Linked DNA regions of Callithrix jacchus. The protein of the gene in region 3 purifies or fractionates together with the protein of the main gene of each other region. This does not show direct contact. Links are inferred from orthologs where the notes say so. Each region holds a gene or a part of one and is shown on either strand. Other genes may lie near its edges. The genes, in order: GNA13, GIPC1, ARHGEF12, VAPA and MYO6.

Region 1 (4,188 bases), on a different chromosome or scaffold from region 3:
ATAAGCTTTTATTCCAGTATTATTTCCTTAGACTTCTGAATCAATCCAGACATACCTTCTCCCAAAATGGAGACCAACATCAAAAACTTCTCAGAGCTTAAAAAAATAACAGCCACTCACTGTCTTAAAAGTAGAGCCTTGGAAAACAAATACTATTAGCACAATTGCTCTTTCTGAAGGACTTTCAACATGTTCCAATTTATAAAATAACTTCTGGGGTAGAAGGCAGTCAAAAAAGAACCAAACTCAAGAAGGAAAAGAACTTATGCTGCATAGACCGCTGTCCAAGCATGGAAGAAAATAGATACAACCAAGATTTCATGAACTTAAAAGATGTTCACTTATGAAACACTAAGAACCAAGTATTCTAGCTCTGTGTTCTGTTATCTCCTTCGGCACCCTAACCCAACGTTGAGTCTTCTAGGAACATTCAAAATTTAAAAACTTCTACCAGCCCATGCTTCAGTTCAGTTTAACTCACAGGACAGCCTTCAATTTCCCTAAAAGCAAGATCAACTGCAAAATAATATAAAATTGAACTCCAGCTCACAGAGGTTAGTTCAAGCTTGCTTTTTCTATCACTGATCTATTGTTTTTATTACCTTTGATCCATCTGAACAGTCACTTGGCTAGTAGGAAGTCATTTGTTTGAATAACTGAAAAACTGGTGTTTTTTAGTTTTTTGTTTTTTAATAGGGATGAGGTCTGGCTATGTTGCCCAGGCTGGTCTGGAACTCCTGGGCTCAAGCCATCCTCCCACTCTGGCCTCCGTGCTGGGACTGCAGGAGTGAACCACCACACCCAGCCTGAAAAAGCTGTTTTATTGTCAATTTTCATGTCAACTAAAAAACACTAGATTCCTGATAACTTACTTCATCTCATAATCAATGCTCAAAGTAGATCACACTTAACAACTCAGTGTACATTAAGAACGAGGTGTTTACCTGGCTCACAATCAGTTAACAAGTTGATGCTATTCATTAACATAATTCCTTAAGTTCAGCTGCATCAGGATACAAAGGTACCTTCGATTAAGGACTAAGGCAGAGTCTGCAGCCTTGAAAGAGACCTTAATTAGTTTTGTGCTAAACATTACAGCAGGGTAAATACAACTGTTCTTTATAGTTTAACTGCAGAGGTACTAGGTCTTCTAGGCTGTGGTCTGTGAGCTGCTGGCCTAGAGATTCTCTAGTCATTACTCCACAATGCCTGCCTCTTCAGGCAGTTTTCCTTTACCCAAACGCTGGGAGGGGAGGAGTGGGAGTGACATGAAAAAAACCTGCAATCTGTAGCAAGCTCCTGAACTGCTCCCTAGATAAAATAAAATCCAGATGCACGTGAAGTATCAGGCTCTGCACCTGAATTCTGCCAAAATGCCTTTTCTATAGAACATACATGACACACAGAAAAATGAGTATCTTTCAAATGACAAAATAAAAACCATCTTTTCGATTCTTTTGAATGCCCAGAAATAAACAACTTGTTTATTTTTCCACTTAAAAACAAAATTTAATTTTAAAACTACTGTCAATAAAGAGCAGGGCCAATTATCTAACTCAACACTCATTCATTGTCTTCATCTGTACAGGATCCACATGACTTTTAAGCCAGTCTTCTTACAACTACAACATTTCATCTAAATAGAAGTAGTGGCACTCCCTTCCCGCCAGCCCTCAGCTACTTGGCGAAAAGGAGAGTGGAGCGTGCTGCACAGCGATTATATGCAAACATCCTACCTGACAGTGACAGTGGGGCGAAAAAGGGCAGATGCTACTTTTTTAGACTAACCGTATGGGTCTACTCTCTCCTGATTCCAGTACAGTCAACCTGACACTCTCAAGTTTCATACCCTTGCCCAAAAGGAGGCTGCCACCCTACGCCCTTGACAAGAAGGCAAAAAGTTCCCTTACTGCGACGGTTCCAGAACTTGGAGGCGGTCAAGGAAGCAGGGAGTTGGGAGCGCATGCGACCCCATGTGACTCGGGTCACTCAGCCGGGATAGCGAGGTTCGGCCCACATCGCCCGAGCCGGGAATGGGGGTGCAGGGGCTGAGGCTGCTCTAGGGTCTTCCTGCCTCATCCGCAGCGGGGAGGACGAGAGAGGTCTCCCATACCCCGAGACACCCAGTTCGCCTCACTTCCCTCTCGCAGGGGGCGAGACCAGGGGCGCGGTGGGGGGTGAGGGAATGGCCGTGACGCCCACCGAGGAGACAAGGGGGAGAACAGGGCGCCCCCGAGCATCCTCTCGCCTGGGGGACGAGGGCACCCCGGGCGGGCAGGGCCAGTGCCCGGGGCGCGCCCCCTTCCCGCCAGCACGCCCGCCAAGCCCGGTCCTCCGCCAGCGACGGAGCGGACGAGGGCGGTGCCCGGCCCCGCGCCCGCCGCCGCCCCAGTCCCCCGGCCCCCACAGCCGGGGCCCCCGTTCCCGGCCCGGCACCTTTGATCACGTTGCTGTAGATGGTGGGGCGGAACTCCTCCCGCGCGCGCTGGTCGAAGTCCTGCCCGTGGATGATCCGCATCTGCTTTAGGAAGGTGGACTTGCCGCTCTCGCCCGCGCCCAGCAGCAGGATCTTCACCAGCCGCTTCACGTAGGTCTTCTCCCGGGACAGGCATTTGTCGATCTCCTTGGACTTGCGTTGCTGCTCGGCCTCACTGCTAGTCAGCAGGCAGCCGGGGAAGCACACGGACAGCACCGACCGCGACGGCAGGAAGTCCGCCATCTTGCCGCCGCCGCCGCCGCCTCGGCGGGCCCCTCCGGCTCCCTCCACCTCCTCCTCGGGCGGCGGGCGGCTCTGGCACCACGGCTCGAGGGCGGGGAGCGCAGCGGCGGCCCGAGCGCGCCCAGGGAGGGAGGGAACCAGCGAACTGACTCGCAGGGCGGGCCGGGCAGGGCGGGCCAGGAGAGCGGGGGAGGGAGGGAAGGAGGGCGGACCCGGCCCGGGAGGGGCGGTGGCCCCGGCGCGTGCGCGCTCCCGCCGCTTCCCGGGGCGCGCTCGCACGCCGCGGCAGCTCCCTCGCCTCCCGCCCTGGGCGGCGAGTCACGCGCTTGCTGTCTCGCTCCGGTGCCCGCACTCGCTGCCGCCGCCGGGAGCGCGCTGAGAGGGCTGGGGAGCCGCGGTCACGTGGGCGGGGCGGGGGAGTCTAACTTTCTGTTTCCCTTTCGTGGTCTGCGCCCACTTGTGGGCAGAACGGCTCCTTCCCCTGGGCTTGGAGGCCGGAGACCAGGTACCGGACGCGGCTCCTTGGGCTCCCACTTAGCCGCCCTTTCTCCCGCGTGCGCCTGCTGCCCACTGCCACCGCCCACCGGACCCTTTTCGAGGCCACGGACTCGAAAGTTATTTGAACAGAACAGCCGGCGTGAGCCTGGCATGCCTTCGGTGCATTTTCTTTATTTCATTTTTTAATTTATTTTTTATTTTTTTTGAGGTGAAGTCTCTCTGTCACCCTGGCTGGAGTGCAGTGGCGCTATCTTGGCTCATTCCACCTCCCAGGTTCGGCCTCCCGAGTAGCTGGGATCACAGGGATTACAAGAGTGTGCCATCATGCCCTGCTAATTTTTTGTATTTATTTTTAGATACGGGGTCTCCCCCTATGTTTCCCAGGGTGGTCTTGAACTCCAGAGCTGAAGTGATCCTCCAGTCTCACCTCCCACAGTGTAGGGATTCCAGACGGAGCCACTGCTCCCTGGCCTGGTGTGTTTTCATAAGGTGACTCCCTTGACCTTCTACTCTCCGAATCCCAGAACAGTAACCAGACATCATCCGCCCACACTTGCAGTTCTTTCTGGCATTTTCAGACCCTGCCAGCCCCGCCCCCCTTACCAGGGGAAAGAACTGGAGTTGATGTTCACCGGAGACGTGCTACTAGGGGCTCTTAATGGCTCAGTCATGTGCATTCCACCTGGGCTGTGATGTGGCTTCGGGGACGCTTGGCCAGGCTGGAATCAGTGAGTGGCAGCAGGAGGGTGAGGTCATGGTGAAAATCCCCTACACCGGACACTGTGATGCAGGCTATTCCCAACAAGGAAGCAGATACACAAACACCAGGAGGAATGGGAGCATGCAAATTTTAGGTTTCCTGCCAGATTACAGAGGATGTGACCCGTCAGGGGACTTTTTTTCTGTCTTAGCAGCGGATTCAGGCCAGGACACCTGAAAGGCCAGGAGACAAGCCACAAGTGACAGCTGTG
Region 2 (4,150 bases), on a different chromosome or scaffold from region 3:
GATGAAGCTTGAGCAGGGTCTCAGCGCTTAGAGGCTTCCAAGAACTACAGTTCCCAGAACACGCAGCATTCAGTTGCTGTCCAAGTGGCTGGGTTTGAACTAGAACAAGGAAATCTCGCCTGTCCTGGGAACTGAGCGTCCTGGCCTGTTCCAGGTGCGTTTGTGACTCATGTTTCTTGGATCTGTGCCCTCCTGAGAAATCCCCGTTCCTTATAAACTACCTGGTGCATTTGTCCACACAGGTTTGCTGAGAACCTGTTATGTGGCAGCTTGAGATGGGAGTGAGGGGTTGACGAGAGAGACTCAGTCAGCCTCCATCCTCACAGTCAGATGGAGACAGATCCATCAAAGGTCGGAGGCTGGCTGGGTACCCTCTGTGATCTAGCACGTAGTAAGTGACCAACAAATCAACAAGCAAATAAAAACTATCTCACTCTTGTCTTTCATTCCATCTTGCCTTTCCACACTGATTTACCAGCTCCCACGATGTTGCACTATCCTAAAGCGTGCTGTAGCTCTCTGGCTTTTGCACACTCTGTTATCTCTACTGGAAGCATATTCGGCTTACTGGCTCACGCGTTTGTCTGTAGGACAGAGCCTGGCACGGAGCAGAGGGCACATTAAATATTTGATGAGTGAGTGAATGAATGAATGAATGAATGCCTTTCTCCATTGTACACTCCAGGAAGCAGGGACGCTCGGGACCCTCCGTATTTATCTCTGCCCCCCGCCCGCCCCTAGAGTATGAATGCACTTTTTATCAGCTCCGAGGATGGCCAGGCTGGGGCAGAGGCCGGGCGGGGAACTGGGTTAGGAGCTGCCATCGACCCCCCACCCAGGCCTCCTAAACGGTCCACTTTCCCGGACGTCGGGAGTTCGCATCCTGTCCCCGAAACTTGGCCTCGGTCACCTGACTCCCCCGCCCCTCACCACCCAGGGCACCCTAGACGGACATTCAGCCAACAGCACGTGGTTCAGGGGCCCCAGCTTCCTTCCCATTGGCCGCTCGCCTCCTTCCTTCCCCGCGATTGGCCGGGACCCAGCCGCAGCTCCGCCCCCCCTCCTCAGCCCTCTGGTGGTACAGCCCGCCGCGGCTCAGGCGGGGCGGAAAGGTCCACTGCTTTGCGGCGCAGGGGGAGCCGGGAAGAGCCGGGTGAGGCGGAGGGATCCCTCTGGAATGTTTCCGTCGGGTCCACCCGAAGCGGGAGGCGCGGATTGGCCGCGAGCTCCGGAAGACAGCCGCTAATTGGTCTTCCGCGGGCGTCGGCCCCGCCCCCCTAGGCGCCACTGCGGGAGAGGCCCAGGCAGGAGTTTGCGGAGGGCCGAGCCGGGTGCGCGCGGGGAGGCGGTGGCGGCGGCGCAGGTGAGTGGCCCCGGCGGGAGGGATGTGTCCACTCTGGGGGCCCCGGATGTCGCGGGCCCGCGAGGATCCGGCGGATCGTGCAAGGTGGGGCGGGCCCCGGGGACGCGACTGGAGGTCTAGGCTGAGCGCGGGGATGCCGGAGGCCCCTTCCTGGGGGGAGCGAGGGTGGGGGTGGTGGGGGCAGCTCCCTTCCTGCTGGAGGGCAGAGGGCAAACGCCTCCCAGCACCAGGTAGGGGTCTCCGGGCTTGCCCCTCCCCCCTCCCCCTTCTAGACGGCCCCCATCCCGGGGGGGACAGGCGTGGGGTCGATGTTTCTGACCCTTTCCTGTCCATTTTCCCTGAGCGAACCGCGTCTGAACCCTCCAGGGCCTGGGGCACGCAGTGAGGACCAGGGCCTGGATAATTATCATCATGAAAAACTCCACCCCAGCTAGCATTTATGGAGCGCTTCCGTGTCAGGCATTTACCATGCGGATCATTGAATCAAAACACTTCATGGGAGGTGTTGTGCCTTCTTGTAAAAAAGGTGAGGCAGCAGGCTCAGAGAGGTGGAGTGACTTGCTCAAGGTCACACAGCTAGTAACTGGCACATCTGGGGCTGGAACTCATGCCCCCAGGGTCCAGAACTGGAGTCTCAGCCACTAGACTTGATACCCACTGGCTCCATAGTTCAGTTGTTGCTGAGCAGCTCCAGCCCCTACCCCTCCCACCCCTACCTCATACTCATCATCAGGGCCACACTTGTTGGTCTTTTGTTTCCTTCCCCCCCACCCCCACAACCCCCAAAGATCACCAGATACCAGCCACTCAAACAGGAAGCTGCCCTCATGTCCCTTCTACCCTGAGCTGGAGAGGGCAGGTTTGACTACCTGGGTCCAGAGAAGAGTGACATCTGCAGGGGCCCAGGATGCTGGGGTCCTGGGCCTGCTGGGTCCCCCCTGGCAACCTGGGCCAAGGCTGAGCAGTAGGCGTTCTCCAGGGAAACACCCAGGAGCCGGTTTTTCAAGAGTGAATCAGAGGCCTCTCTCCCTCCTCTCCAAGGCAACACGGTGTGGGAAGGGGGAGCCTGGGCGTGATTTCCCCCTTCCCCTAGCTTCTGTGTGCTCCCAGGAACCCCTTTCCCTCCTCCTGCCGACCACACTGTGTTTCTGGATGGCTGTGGGGTTGCGAAGTTTCAGGCCCTTCCCAGGATGAGGGGGCCGGGATGCCGAAATTCCAGCCCAAACAGTTAATATCCAGGTCGAAGTTTCTCTTCTTCATCTCTGCGTTCAGGTGTGAGGGGAGCCAGGGAAAGTGGGGAGTTAGTAACCCCACAGTAGGCATGTTTGGGGGGCTGTTTTGAGGATGGAGGTTTGCAGAGAGCAGTCAGAATGAGGACCTGAGACACATTCATTCATTCTACAAATATTTCAAGTGAGCACCTACTATGGGCACGTGCTAGGCACTGTTCTTGGCACAGAAAATAACATAAATGAACAAAAATTCCTGCTCTTGAGGAGTTGGCACTCTGAAAGGAAGCAGCCAACAGCAAGTTATCAAGTAAATAAAGAAGATAATTTCAGATGACACTAAGTGCTATGAATAAATGTGTGGGTAGTACTATAGAGGGTTGTGGGCAGGGGGTGCCAGTGCCAGGAAGATCAGATAAGGGGGTTGGGCAAGGTGGCTCACACCTGTAATCCCAGCACTTTAGGAGGCCGAGGCAGGTGGATCACTTGAGGTCAGGAGTTTGAGACAAGCCTGGCCAATATGGGGAAGCCCTGCCTCTACTAAAAATTAGCCAGGCGTGGTGGTGCATGCCTGTAATCCCACCTATTTGGGACACTGAGGCAGGAGAATCACTTGAACCTGGAAAGTGGAGGTGTCGGTGAGAGGAGATCGTGGCACTGCACTCCAACGTGAGCAACAGAGCAAGACTCCATCTCAAAAAAAAAAACAAAACAAACAAACAAAAAAAAACAGGTCGGGCAAGGCCAAGGTCTTTCTTTAGGCTGGACCAAGCTTGGAATCTAGTTGGAGCAGATGAACCCAGAGCAGGGATTCTGCAGGGGTTTGTGGGTCACAGTAAGGAGTTTGCAATTTTTCTTCCAGAAGGTGGGAAACCGTTGTAAAGTTTCAGTCAGGGCAATGATGCCATCTCATTTATGTTTTAAAATAGAGACATGAAGTTAAATGACAGCCTGAGGCTGGAAGACAAGAGTTCTGCCAGGGCAGCATGCAATTAAGTTCCTGGGCCTGAGCTGTCTGTACCACAGGGGAGGTTCCAACATGCTGGGGCAAGCCTGGGAGGCTGCCTGGAGGAGTGAGCCTGGAGTAGGTCTTGGCAGGCAGAGAGGGCGGGGATATTCCTGGGCAGGGCAGGGCAGAGAAGGCGATACCAGTAATAATGACAACAGCTTCCTTACATGGAGTCTGAGGCAGAGTATAGATGGGATACGTGGGCAATCTCTTTGGATTTCCATAACCACCTTGAGAGTGACAGGAATTCTACCCATTTTTCAGATGAAGAAACTGAGGCCCTGTGAAGTGAAGTGACCTGCCCACAGCCACACAGCTGGTAAGTGGCAAGGGTGGGATTTGAACCCAGGCCATGAAGCCTCTTATGGCTGTGGCAGGCAGATTCATTAATCACTCACTTTCCTCCCTGCTGTTAATCCTCACTCACGGGTGGGGACACAGAAGCCAGCATGAACCAGGGCAGTGGGTGTGGACAGAGAGAGAGTAGGGAGGTTGGGAATCTTGGTCAGGATGTAGGGATCTTGGAAGTTTGGATCTTGGTACAGATGG
Region 3 (3,620 bases):
TAATCACCCCATATCTCCCCTCTGCTGAATGTTTCTTACAATAAAGTCCTATGGATGTGGAAGCATGAGGTACCTTTAAGTGTTCAAGGTCAGCCTCTATCTTATGAATGTACTCCATGATCTGGCTCTGTGAATCTGCACAAGAGGAGGGACTCTGGATCTCAAAACAGGAATCCTCCATAGCTCCCCAGCGCTGCTGGACCAGAAATTCGGGGGTGAATGGTGAAACTACCCCATCAGAGTGAGCATTCTGAGGAGAATGTTGCTGCTGGTGGGGGGAGTCCACAGCAGAGATGCCTGTCATGGGCTGCGGGGTAAGTGAGGAAGCAACCTCCTCATCTGTGGAACTCTCCTGCACTGTGTCATAGCCATCAAGGATCAAATAGTTTCCTACGGATAGAGACAGAAGAGTTTGATGAGACCAGTGCTGCCATTAGAAAACAGAAATAGCATAGTGTGCTGACAACTTCAACTTGAAAAGTTATTAAAGAGGGAAAAGCCTTTAATTCCTGAGTTTAGTTTCAAGTACATCAGAATTTCCTCACTTCAGGTTAAAGCTAAACTTGGCAAACTTTCATGGTAATTTCTGACAGATTTCATTTAGTTAGCATTTCAAAGGTTTAAAGCTGGAAACCACAGTGCCTAAATGATCTTGCCACCACTTTCCCTGCCAAACACCTCTCTTGCCCTATCTCTTGCCATTGTCTCACTCACCCAGTGTTCAATCACCACAACAAGCTTGCTCTTGACACAAAGCCTCTGCCCCATTCTGTTCTCTGTTGGAACACTATGCTCTCATGTACCCACCCACTTGGCTTTATTCCCTCATTTCATTCAGGTCTCTGCTCAAATGCTATCTCGTCAGAGGTCCTATTCCCTGGTCACCCTGTTTGCCTCCATTACTCTGTCCCTTAGTCTGACTTAGGTTTCTTCCTAACACTTCCGAAGTCTAATTACTTGTTTACTTATTTATTGTATTCACTGCTATAACTCCCAGCACCTAGGATGAGGTCTGGTACAGAGCGGATTCAGTATTTATCAAATAAAGGAATAAATAAATACTGCAGGTGTGTGAACACACACACACACACACACACGCCTTGATACCAACATAACAGCCATTTCAACATACAGGACAGTTAACAATGATCAAAATCAAAGTTTAAGTGTGAAAGATACTTGCCTGAGATGCGTAAATTAACCTCCTTCTCTTCCTTGTTTACCACTCCATCACGTTCTGATGGATTCTCATCACTATGTGCTTCACGGGCATCAAAAAAGTGCTCTCCACTGTCATCAAGACCCCCTTCTGGCTCTGTGGTAGGCATCTCTGGGGTCATAATCATGTGGTCCATTACTAAAATGTTACTTGCCTGGCTATCTTGGGGTGGCAATACCACTGAATCCCGTGGAGCAGAAGATTCAGTTGAAGTCCGTGGACTGTAACAAGTTGCAATGTCACCAGTTCCAGTTCTAAAGGGCATATGTCCTTCACTAGAATGACAGGCCTTAATATTTTCAGAGTTCTGGATGACACTGTCTGTCTGTGCCCCCTGAGAGGCCGTCCTGTATCTTGGGAAATGTTGCCAGTCTTCCTGAGTGCTCTTCTCAGCCAAACCCAGCTGTTGTACCAGCAACTGCTTCAACAAACCCACTAAATGATATAGGAAGGAAGGGGGGAAAAAGCATATTCACAACTATAACCTCGGGCTGCAAGAATTAAATTAGCAATTATCTTTAAAAGTATCTTTAATGACTCATTAAAATGTTAATTATTAATTTCATACAATCATTTTATTTTGTAAAATCATTTTTCATTTTGTTTTGAAAATGAAATAGAGCACCATCTTTTAGAGAAGATTTAACATTAAACTAAACTTGAAAAGATCTAAGCATTCTAAATGGGGGGAGGTACTCCTATTTAGAACTCCTGAATAACCAATATCATGCCTCTATTTTTTTCTTCTACATAACTAGAAAAATACCCTAAAGGTACTTCTTAAGAATGCTGAAAGGCTGTGTTAAGCTAGAGAGAAAAAACTAAAAGTTCTGCCCTTTCCAGATGCAGACCCTATATGCATATTATTTCCTCTGATTTCTCAAGATACATACAACATTTATTGAAAATAAGAACCAATTTAATTTTGAATGGGCAAAGTGTATGCTATGACGTCACCCAGACAATGATAGAGTTACTGGGACAATGTTAGTCAAACCATCAGAAATCATTAAGACTGTTAATTCAGGGAAATGTAAGAGAGAATAATGTAGGTTTTAAATAACTAATTCTTTGCTTTCATCACTAGCTTAATGTGTCTTATGTTTCTTTAGGTAAACAAGCTCCGTTTAGGTCCCTGATCCTCTGTCCTGCTGCTCTACAATCACTTCCGAGAGATGCTAGGAATTCCCCTGGCTCTGATGCTCAAATCTCTCTTCCTAACCTCTCCCTAAAGTTTCACTCCTAAAACTAACTTCCTACTAGTCACCCACTCTTTACTGTTTTGTCAGTCATTAGCTTAATCTTGACATTCTTTAAACGTGAGCCTATAATTCTACTAAGTTATAAAAAAAGAAAAAAGAAAGTACAATGGAAGGAGGTAGGGGAAGCAGCGGTAGTCCTTTTTTGACTCTTATTTCTGACAAGATTAATGAAATTGTCTCTAAATAGTCCCTTTCCTTTGTCCTCACATCCAAACAAGTCAGTTGTTTTAAGCATTTGCTGACTTCTCACTTTCTTCTTATTCCTTTTGATACCATTCTAGTCCAAACTCTTTTAGTCTCAGGCCAGCCTACTCTAATAGTTTATTTAGTAAGTACACCATTCCAGAACTCTTTCTATTCAAATCCTTCCACAGCTCTTAGCCAGATTAATCTTTCTTCATACCTTGAGGCATACCCTGGTTTAAAAATTTCAAATGGTTCTCTACAGCCAGAGCAATTGTTAGCAGCCTTTTTTCCACCTCAATACAACTGAGACATATGCTGTCCTCCCATTCTAACAGTGATTCTCAAAACAGCTGAGGGGCGGAAGCTAATAGAGTGGCATGTGCATTTGTGTCTGTGGCATGGGCCATTGCAGAGAATACTATAATCTCCACAATAAAACTAGAAGACTAAGTGGAGTTTGATAAATCCACATATTGTAGGGATGGCAAATGAGTGCGATACTTAATAAGTATCTGTAATAAGTTATGAATAAAAACTTACAGTTTCTTAGTGCATCCAATGCCCACCGTTCTTCTGAAATAGGCAGGTGTGAATCTGGGATTGTGATTTGATAATCTTCTCCAACTTCCTTTAGTGTCCCATCTGTATGTTGTTCCTTTGCAAACTGTCTCTCAGCCACAAAGAGATCACGTACCTCTGATTTTCCAGAGGTGCTCAGTGAATGAGGCTGAGGTTTTGATGATATTAAGGTAGATTCTAATCCCAAATCTCTGTCTGTCCAATGGAATAGAAAACATAGAGTACATCTAAACAAAACTTTTAACTTTTAAAATGAAGCATTCAGGCAAGAATCAGAAAAAATCCCCATAAACTACAGAGATCATCTGTTAAGCAAAATACACAGCACTTAGAGCAGTGTTATACTAAAACACAGAAGGCTCGAAAGTGAAGTT
Region 4 (4,411 bases), on a different chromosome or scaffold from region 3:
CATATACGAAGGTTTCCATCAAAGCAAACAATTTGCCTTTGACTAAAACAATATTAAAAAGGAATCAAACACCAAATGTCACCTCCCAATCCTCCCCATTATCTGTATCTTTAAAGTGAAACACACAATGAACTATTGGGCATTTAAGTACCAGGCATTTTCTCACAACAGTTTGTTTACTCAACCACTCTCTGGGCTTAAACCTTCCCTGAAATGAAAAACAAGCCTTTTCGTTAAAGGCTTCCTAAGGGAGGGATGGATGGGGCACGTAGAGAAAGGGCTTCTTTCCTCAGACAGGATTGTGTCTCTCTTACACCATTTGTACATTTTCTCTTTTTCCCTTACTAGTCTTATCATTTGTACTGGCAACACAAGAACAATGTGTTCCATAATCATAGCTATAATTCTCCAATACCCCCAAAGAAGGAAATATATGAGTAAGTCACTGTGTAGGGTTTTTGGTTGTTTTTTTTTAAACCTGCTTCTCCACTATTACTAGTCTCTTACTAAAGCAACGTAACAACTTCCCCAAGGAGAAACCTTCAAACTCTGTGGACATTTCATGGCCTAAAACTGGTTGTCAAGGCTTGTAAGCACCTAACGGCAATTTACACAGTTATCCAGTAGAGGAAACGTTCACTGTAAACACAGCCAGTCAAAAGATAAAAACGAAATACACACACACACACACACACACACACACATCATAGAGGTTTACATTCAATTATCTCAAGATTATGGCTGAGTTAGGACATTTCACGATTCCTCAAAGGTTTTCCCCCAGCTAAAACTATGTAAAATCACACAACATACATTAACTTGCAATAAAATACATTCACTGCACCTTGTCTTAAAACCAAATCCTTACCCAACAAGTAGCTCACTCACTTTTCTATTCAATAGGCCGGGCGTGGTGGCTCACGCCTGTAATCCAAGCACTTTGGAGGCCAAGGCGGGCGGATCACCTGAGGTCGGGAGTTCAAGACCAGCCTAACCAACATGGTGAAACCCCGTCTTTATTTAAAAAAAAAAAAAAAGAAAGAAAGAAAAGAAATTTGTAAATGCACTAAAAAACTTGCAATGCAGTTATCCAATATTAATCTCGTAATTTCAGAATATATTTTAAATTCCTAAAACTAAAGTTTTTCCTGTGGAAAACAATGTAGTTGGGATTTCTCGTTACACAACAATAAAGGATTTCACTGTTTCTTTTAGCACTAGAATTGCTATACACCTCACAAAAATTGTTCTCATTCAACAAACTGAACTACAAGACACTGACTTCCAAAAGGGGACTCACTTTACACTTAACTAAAGATAGGAAGGAACCTTTCTATTAGATGTTCACACTCTTTCAGTATTCCTTAAGTACAAGAAAAAAACAAAAACCTGTCCAGTTTCTAACTCTCTTTCCTAAAGTACACCTTATATTGACAAGCAAACGGATCAAACAGCCCCTGGGATTGTTCCAGTATCACCAAGTCAGACTGAAAACTTATCACCGGCAGTGCTACAAAATAAACCTACAAAGTTCCAGAGCTGGCTGACCTTAGCCTTCTCAGGGTCTGTAGGAAACCGCAAACGTAAAGGCAAAAGTCACACGTACTGAAGGCTTCTCAGCAGAGGAGCTCAACTGAAGGGCTAAATAAGAGCAAGCACGCGGGTGGCACACTGAAATGTCGTAGAAGGCAGGAAGCCCCGCTACTATGAACCTACAACTCTGCTTTCGCGGCTGACGCATCGCTCCTGCCCGCACGCGCTTGGGGCCGTGCCAAGAGCACCGGGCAGCCCTCGCCAGGCACCTCCCGGGCTCCTCCGCCTCCCCAGCGCGCCCTACACCTGACAGCCGAGTTCTAAACAGGGAGGAAAGGTGAGGAGAGACGCCCTCCGCGGAGCCCTAGTCCGGCTGCACCCAACTCTCCCCGGGCCGGGGCCAGAGTCGGGAGACGGCTCTCACTCCCGAGGGGTCCCGCGCCACTGACAGCGGGAACCGGAGACGGACGCAGCTTGCGCCACCTCCAGAGCCCACTCCCCGCCGCAGCCCCTACCGCACGCCCGCGGGTGCCCACCCACCCACGCCCCGCTGAAGCACGCCGTCGGCCTCAGGAGCCAAGGACTTGGGCCCCGGCCGACGGCGGCGCGGGCGGGACCGAACACCCGGGTGGCGCCCCCGCGGGACCGCAAGATGGCGGCGGCGGCGCCAGGGCCCGGCTCCCCTCCGCCTCGCCTGGGCCGGCGCGCGCACTGCAGCGCGGGCGGGCGAAAGGGAAAGAAGCCAGCCTGAGAGCCGGGCAGGCAGGCAGAGGCCGCGGCGAGGCAGCAGCCGGGAAAGGGCAGGCGCCCGGGCGTGGGGGAGGGGGCGCTCCCTCGGGCCGCGGCCGCCGACGTGCTCTCCGCGCCCCCCGCCGCCGACAGCCGTCCGCGTGCCCCATCCCGCCCGGGGGTGTCCCCATCCTGCCTACCTTTGAATTTGAGGTCTGTGGGCGGGTCGAGGACCAAGATCTGCTCATGCTTCGCCATGGCCCCGGAGGCGGACGCCATCGGAGAGACAGCGCAGAGCGGGGGCGCGCCCGCGGCGACGGTTTGCTGGCTGGGGGCGGGGAACGACGGTGGTGCCCGCTCGGCCAACCTCTAGGACGGAGCCAGGCTCGCCGCTTCCGAGCCCTGACGCCTGCCGCTGTGTCGCGGGTACGGTGGGCCACCCGCTGGGTCAGCAGCTCCGGATCTCACAACTGACTCAACCCCACACCAGCCGCCACGGCCACGCGCACTGCGATCTTCGGCGCCCCACGTGATGGTCTCTGCGTTGCCTACGTGCGCGCCCCGGCGACCGAGAGCCCCTCGCGCTCGTCCCGCCCTCCAGGCCTACCTAACGCGGCGCCGGGCTACTGCGCCTGCGCGCTGAGGGCTCGCCGCGGCTCCAAGCGCAGCCCAGCTGTCAAGGGAACGGGTGTGGAAAGAGGCGGGGCAAAGGCCCGCGGGACCGACGCGATGCGCAGCCGCAGGCTTGAGGCGCAGTCCTCTGTCACGTTGAGCTACGAGTACGAAACTAGAGAACCTGCTCTGGCAGCGCATCACGGTCTTCCAAGTGGGAATGCCTAGGGAGGAGTAGTGGGGAAGCGCCCACTCACTACAACTCCCAGCATGCCCCTTGTGGGGCGGGGCCTTCGCCGAGGGCCTGGTACTTCGCGGTGCTTGCTGGGAAGTGTAGTAGTGGCTGTTTGTGGGCGGGAAGGTGAGCGAGGTCCTTTTGAGGCGAATGGGGTGGGGTTCGCGGACGCTAATTTTGGCTCAGAGCACGTCTAGTTTGCGCTAAAAAGGAAAAAACTTTTGAAGGCGGAAACGAGTTCCCAATGTTAGAAATATACTGATAAAATCTGCCCTGTGGAGAACAGGCGGGGATGTGTCCGTTTGCTCTGTAATTCTATCCATCCCTCTGTTGGCAAGACTGCATTCCCTGTAATGATCCCATCCAGCCTCTCCTGCTTCCTGAGTTCTCTCCAGTGATGCAAAATCAGATAAGGAAGCACACCCCGTCTAGGAAGCAAACGAGTCGCAGGGGAAATATGACAAAGCACACAAAAGCTAGAAACAAAAGTCAAAATCTACACCATCGAGCCTACGAATCTTCAGTTTTGATTAATGATGGACCCAAACCAACACAGTTGTCACGTTCACATGTTACAAAAGAAATCCATCTGCATCACTTATGATAGGCTGTAGTAAACTGAACCAAATGAGAAAAATCCCAGCAGCAAAGTTGCTGACAAATCTTTAGCCGATTGCCAAGGTAATCCGGTACAGGAACGTCAAATGAAGCGAATGTGCTGTAAATAAACCTTTATTGTATTGTATGATACTGTCTGAATTTAAATATCTAGGAAGCGCCACAAAATAAAAGACATATTGATTGATGCTACTGCCGTAAAGCAGCACAGTTTGTCTAGAAAATAAATGAGACAAAACAGCAGTCAAGACGCAGGCACCAAGTTTTCATGTGCAATCCAGGTATCAGAGTCCACCCAGGAACAGCCTACTGGAATCACTAACCTGGCATTCACAGAAGATGGTGCCACCCAGGAGGAATGCATCTTCAGCCTTGAAGTTCCTGGGAGGATAGAGTGCTTAAGAAGTTTGAAGCATATTCTAAATTTACCTTTCCTGTGATTTCTTTCTATTTGCAAAATTTATTCTGAAATGTCGATTATCATTAAGGCAGAATACCAAAAAAAATTGTATATGAGTTAAAGTTGATTTTGTTTTAAGGAAAAAAAAACTAAAGTTGACAATCAGTCCAAATAATAGTGTCCCACATAAGTTTAGTTGTGAATTGACAACCCTAAAGGCCCTCACAAACTCCAGTATTTTGCCAGCCTAAGATCTCTCCTCCATGGGCAAGCTAGCCTAGGCT
Region 5 (4,161 bases), on a different chromosome or scaffold from region 3:
CATTATGAAATATCTCATTATGGGTATCATAATTAAACTCCGATTGCAATCCCAGCACTTTGGGAGGCCAAGGCGGACAGATCACTTGAGCTCAGGAGTTCGAGAACAGCCTGGCCAACATGGTGAAACCCCATTTCTACTAATAATATAAAAATTAGCCAGGCGTGGTGGCGGCCACCAGTAATCTCAGCTACCTGGGAGGCCGACGAAGGAGAATCCCTTGAACCCAGGAGGTGGAGGTTTCAATGACCGGAGATCATGACACTACACAGCCTGGGTGACAGGGCAAGACTCCATCTCAGGGAAAAAAAAAAAAATGAATAAATAAACTCTATGAGATTTATTTAAGTTATAACACTTTTCAATATTTTATTTTTAGATATTTTAATATATAAAAATGAAAACTGTACAGAAGTTAAATTCTTCTTAAAACTGACATTTTACATGTCAAAAACGGAGCCTCAACTGTCAACAAAGTTAAAATGGGTTAATTTTTAAAAAATGTTTGGATGTATATATCTATTCAAACCTCACATGGTCAAAATCTTTGAAACTTTCTAAAAAACTTTCTAAAGAAAGCTACATTTTGGAAGCCAGATACAGCCCAATTGTCTAAACAATGGGCTACATGATACACCACAGACTCCAGGCAAAGTCACAACAGGATGAGAAAAGAGCCTTCAGCCTCTCGGATTTCCTGGTCACTGTTATTTTAAAACTTGATCACGTAAACATAAATAGGAAAAAAATCCATTTCAGATAAGCTCTACTGGTTATGATTTACAATCTTTTGTTTTTAATACAATATTTAATTGCATTAATTTACATTAAATATTATAATTGTTCATTACATTTTTCTTGCTCATGTTTCTGGGCACTAACCAAGAATATATATGTATATCATATATAGTTTTATATATTATACAGTTTTTAACATATTTCCTTAAATGTCATTCATACTTCTGTTACTGCCATTTACAATAGTTTCTGAAAACAATAATGTAACTTACAAAGATGGAGAATGATAAACAGCATGTCACACACAAAAAATGCAAAAGTAATGGGCAAATGTACATACGACTACAATGACTTGTTTACCGATGTGGATGTAATTCCTGCCTAACGTAAAAATACTCAAAACGAGCTGGATATATAAAAGTCAGCGAGCTATTGTGAAAGGCTGCATGGTTTCAAGCTCTAGTTATAGTCCACTTGGTAACATTTGTGGCGGTTTCTACAATTAAAGGCAAAAGACACAGTTAAGTTTTTTGTTTTTTTTTTTACGTGCCGTGACTCCGATCAGAGGTAATTTTTTCACTAAACATTCTCCAGTTGGAAAACCACAACCTGAGACATCTAGGAAGCTCAGTTAATTTGTACAGGAAATGCTGCTTTGCCGCCAACCTTTGTACCATGACCACTACAAGTCCAAGTTCAAGATTCATGTTTTATGTTGTGAAGATAAGTTTCAGCTAAATCTTAAGAATGTTAATTTCTAGGGCAGGTGCGGTAGCTCATGCCTAATCCCAGCACACTGGGAGATTGAGGTGGGTGGATCACCTGAGGTCAGGAGTTCGAGACCAGCCTGGCCAACATGGCAAAACCCCATCTCTACTAAAAATACAAAAACTAGCTGGGCGGTAGTGCACGCCTGTAAGCCCAGCCGCTGACGCAGTAGAATCACTTGAACCTGGGAGGTGGAGGTTGCAGTGAGCCGACAGAGTGAGACTCCGTCTCAAAAAAGGAACCTTAATTTTAAAACTCTCAAATTCTGACTAGATAGACTGCATCTATACCACCAGAGCATTAAAAAAAAAAAAAAAAAAAAAAATGAGACTTACTTAGCCCGTACAGTTAGTCTATTAAGTTAGGGCAGTTCTTCTCGTTTTCTCACTAATACTCATAAATTAGGAGTTAAGCATCTTTCCACGGTATCACTTTATGCTAGATAAGATGTAATGAATTTTTTGAAACTGTATGGAAATACTTCTAAACTCAGATGTTCTAGGGATACCCCATCAAATTATGTCCTATTTAAAATTAAAATACCAGAGTTTGAGCATTTTAATCGTTTTAGGGAGTTTTTGGAAATTAACAGAAGAAAGTTCTTGTTCAGTAGCATACCTGTAAATTAACATACTCAAGGTACTGAGAGACAAAGAATAAAGCTTTACAAAGTCTCAATCTGGTCTTCTACATGATTAGACTATTAATGGTATCATTTGATCTTCACATCTCAGAACAAACTGCGCTCTCCCTGCACTGTATTTTAAGCGTGTTTACAAAAGAGAAAATAAAACTATCACAAAGTGTCCAAGTCCGAGTTGGACACCTGAGTGCTCTGCTTCTACCTGGGAGCCAGGGAAGAAACACAAAGGGACCTTGGTGATTGATAACCCGTGAAAGGAGGCTAAACGTCTTTCTGTGGAAACAAGAACCACCCCCGGCCCCACCGCGCGCCGCCGCCGCCCGGGGCCGACCCATCACCTGCTTCTCCCACCCGCGTCGTCCGGCGGTGAACCGACGCGTCGGCCCGGGAGCTGCCCGAGGAGGCCCAAGAGCAAGGCCGGGCCGGGAACAGCGAGACCCCGGAGCCTACGCCCCGCAGCGGGGGCTCCGGGACACTCACCGGTGCCGGCGTGAAGGCAGGTGCGCGGCGGCAGAGGTACTCGTGCAGCTCAGGCTGAAGGGCGCGGTGGGAAGTGATGAGGGCGAGAGATGAGGGCGAGCGAAGAGGCCGACGACGCGGACGCGCTGCAGGACGGGGCGGCGACAGCGGCCCGGCTGCGGCTGGCTTCCTGCTCGGACAGATCCCGAGTCGGTCTCCGCCCGCCGGCCGGCGCCCAGCCGAGTCCCCGGCACCGCGGCGTGCACGTCACGGCTACGGAGCGCCCGAGGGGGCGGGGGCGCCGGGGCCGCGGTGCGGCCGGCCCCCGGGAGCGCGCCGGGAGGGGGCGCGCGTTCTGGGAGCGAGGGCGCCGTACCCCCGGGGTCGCCCCGCCCGCGGCGCCGAGCCTCTGGGGCGGGGTGGGCGCCCTGCTGCGCAGGGAGGGGCTGCCCTGGACAAGCCGGGAGTTCTGGTTCCTCGCACAGAGAAACGGCCTCCTTCGTCGCGGTAGCTGTTTCCAGTCCCAGTGAGGCAGGTCCTCTCCGGCTGATGCCGGGACTGTGCAGGCTGCCAACAGCAAGAATCAGTTCAAGCAGGGAGAAAGTTGTTCGGAGAGGGGGCGAGGAGTCCGGGGCTCCGCGCTGGGGACCCAGGGACCAGGTGGCCGCGCCCGGGCTGCAGCGAGGCTGTGTGGCGGCTACCTCGGCTCCGGATCTGGCCGGCTTGGGCTGGGCTGCCCTGCATAGGGAGGAACGTTCCTGCACAACTAAGTTCCAGTCGGCCTTTGGAGGAGGGAGGGCTTGAGATGTGAATTTCGCACCCCTTTGCTTCTCCCCACTCCCACCCTCGCCGCTGCATTTACTTTTTAGAGTCCCTACCTTCTCAGTCGTTTAAATGTTACTGTTTTTATACGTGACATATCTGTGAATCACTTTTTAAAATATGAAGTACCTATGCAAATTTGAATTATATGGTGAAAACACATCATCTTTACGATGAAAACAGCTTCTGTTAAGGCAACGAAGTGATAATGGACTATAATGCTAAATGTATCCGGGGAAAAAAGATAGCCTACTTACACATGAGAGTTGCACGTTTTTCTGCAACATTTATATGTAGCGACTTGGAAACTTCTGGAATTCTGAAGATTCCGAAGAGAATTTCTGATACTTAAAGGCTTCACGGTTTTCTTGGAGAAACAAAACAAAACAAAACAAAAAAAAAAAAAAAAACTGAGGTCTCGCAAGATGTTTTAGCTTTCAACTAAAACAAAATATTAAGAATAAAATAGGGGCTGGGCATGGTGGCTCACGCCTGTAATCCCAGCATTTTGGGAGGCTGAGGCGGCCGGATCACGAGGTCAGGAGTTTGGGACCAGCCTGGCTAGCATGGCGAAACTCCATTTTTAATTAAAAATATATATATACAAAAAATTAGCTGGGAATGGTGGCCCATGCCTGTAATCCCAGCTACTTGGGAGGCCGAGGCAGGAGAATCGCTTGAACCCGGGAAATGGAGGTTGCAGTGAGCTAAGTTCGTGCCACCGCATTCCA

Evidence for each region.
Region 1: the proteins of ARHGEF12 (region 3) and GNA13 purify together in Homo sapiens (affinity purification with western blotting; 3 studies listed by BioGRID). This does not show direct contact. The link is inferred for Callithrix jacchus from reciprocal best matches to the Homo sapiens genes ARHGEF12 and GNA13.
Region 2: the proteins of ARHGEF12 (region 3) and GIPC1 purify together in Homo sapiens (co-immunoprecipitation; 4 studies listed by BioGRID and IntAct, with this or other methods). This does not show direct contact. The link is inferred for Callithrix jacchus from reciprocal best matches to the Homo sapiens genes ARHGEF12 and GIPC1.
Region 4: the proteins of ARHGEF12 (region 3) and VAPA purify together in Homo sapiens (affinity purification with mass spectrometry; 5 studies listed by BioGRID and IntAct, counting the BioPlex papers as one, with this or other methods). This does not show direct contact. The link is inferred for Callithrix jacchus from reciprocal best matches to the Homo sapiens genes ARHGEF12 and VAPA.
Region 5: the proteins of ARHGEF12 (region 3) and MYO6 purify together in Homo sapiens (affinity purification with mass spectrometry; 4 studies listed by BioGRID and IntAct, counting the BioPlex papers as one, with this or other methods). This does not show direct contact. The link is inferred for Callithrix jacchus from reciprocal best matches to the Homo sapiens genes ARHGEF12 and MYO6.

The regions. Positions count from the first base shown.
Region 1 is NC_133506.1:124,266,869-124,271,056, reverse strand, and holds the start of GNA13 (guanine nucleotide-binding protein subunit alpha-13), read right to left. Parts: upstream 2,872-4,188; 5' UTR 2,720-2,871; coding exon 2,437-2,719; intron 2,136-2,436; exon of another isoform or gene 1,966-2,135; coding exon of another isoform or gene 1,911-1,965; intron 1,203-1,910; exon of another isoform or gene 988-1,202; coding exon of another isoform or gene 945-987; intron 1-944. UniProt on the Homo sapiens protein: Guanine nucleotide-binding proteins (G proteins) are involved as modulators or transducers in various transmembrane signaling systems.
Region 2 is NC_133523.1:13,277,129-13,281,278, reverse strand, and holds the start of GIPC1 (PDZ domain-containing protein GIPC1), read left to right. Parts: upstream 1-1,314; 5' UTR 1,315-1,447; intron 1,448-1,729; exon of another isoform or gene 1,730-1,889; intron 1,890-3,865; 5' UTR 3,866-3,920; intron 3,921-4,150. UniProt on the Homo sapiens protein: May be involved in G protein-linked signaling.
Region 3 is NC_133511.1:20,127,058-20,130,677, reverse strand, and holds part of ARHGEF12 (rho guanine nucleotide exchange factor 12), read right to left. Parts: intron 3,442-3,620; coding exon 3,208-3,441; intron 1,655-3,207; coding exon 1,184-1,654; intron 391-1,183; coding exon 74-390; intron 1-73. UniProt on the Homo sapiens protein: May play a role in the regulation of RhoA GTPase by guanine nucleotide-binding alpha-12 (GNA12) and alpha-13 (GNA13). Acts as guanine nucleotide exchange factor (GEF) for RhoA GTPase and may act as GTPase-activating protein (GAP) for GNA12 and GNA13.
Region 4 is NC_133514.1:53,009,307-53,013,717, forward strand, and holds the start of VAPA (vesicle-associated membrane protein-associated protein A), read right to left. Parts: upstream 2,804-4,411; 5' UTR 2,542-2,803; coding exon 2,463-2,541; intron 1,871-2,462; exon of another isoform or gene 1,599-1,870; intron 1-1,598. UniProt on the Homo sapiens protein: Endoplasmic reticulum (ER)-anchored protein that mediates the formation of contact sites between the ER and endosomes via interaction with FFAT motif-containing proteins such as STARD3 or WDR44.
Region 5 is NC_133505.1:80,986,477-80,990,637, reverse strand, and holds the start of MYO6 (unconventional myosin-VI), read right to left. Parts: upstream 2,828-4,161; 5' UTR 2,630-2,827; intron 1-2,629. UniProt on the Homo sapiens protein: Myosins are actin-based motor molecules with ATPase activity. Unconventional myosins serve in intracellular movements. Myosin 6 is a reverse-direction motor protein that moves towards the minus-end of actin filaments.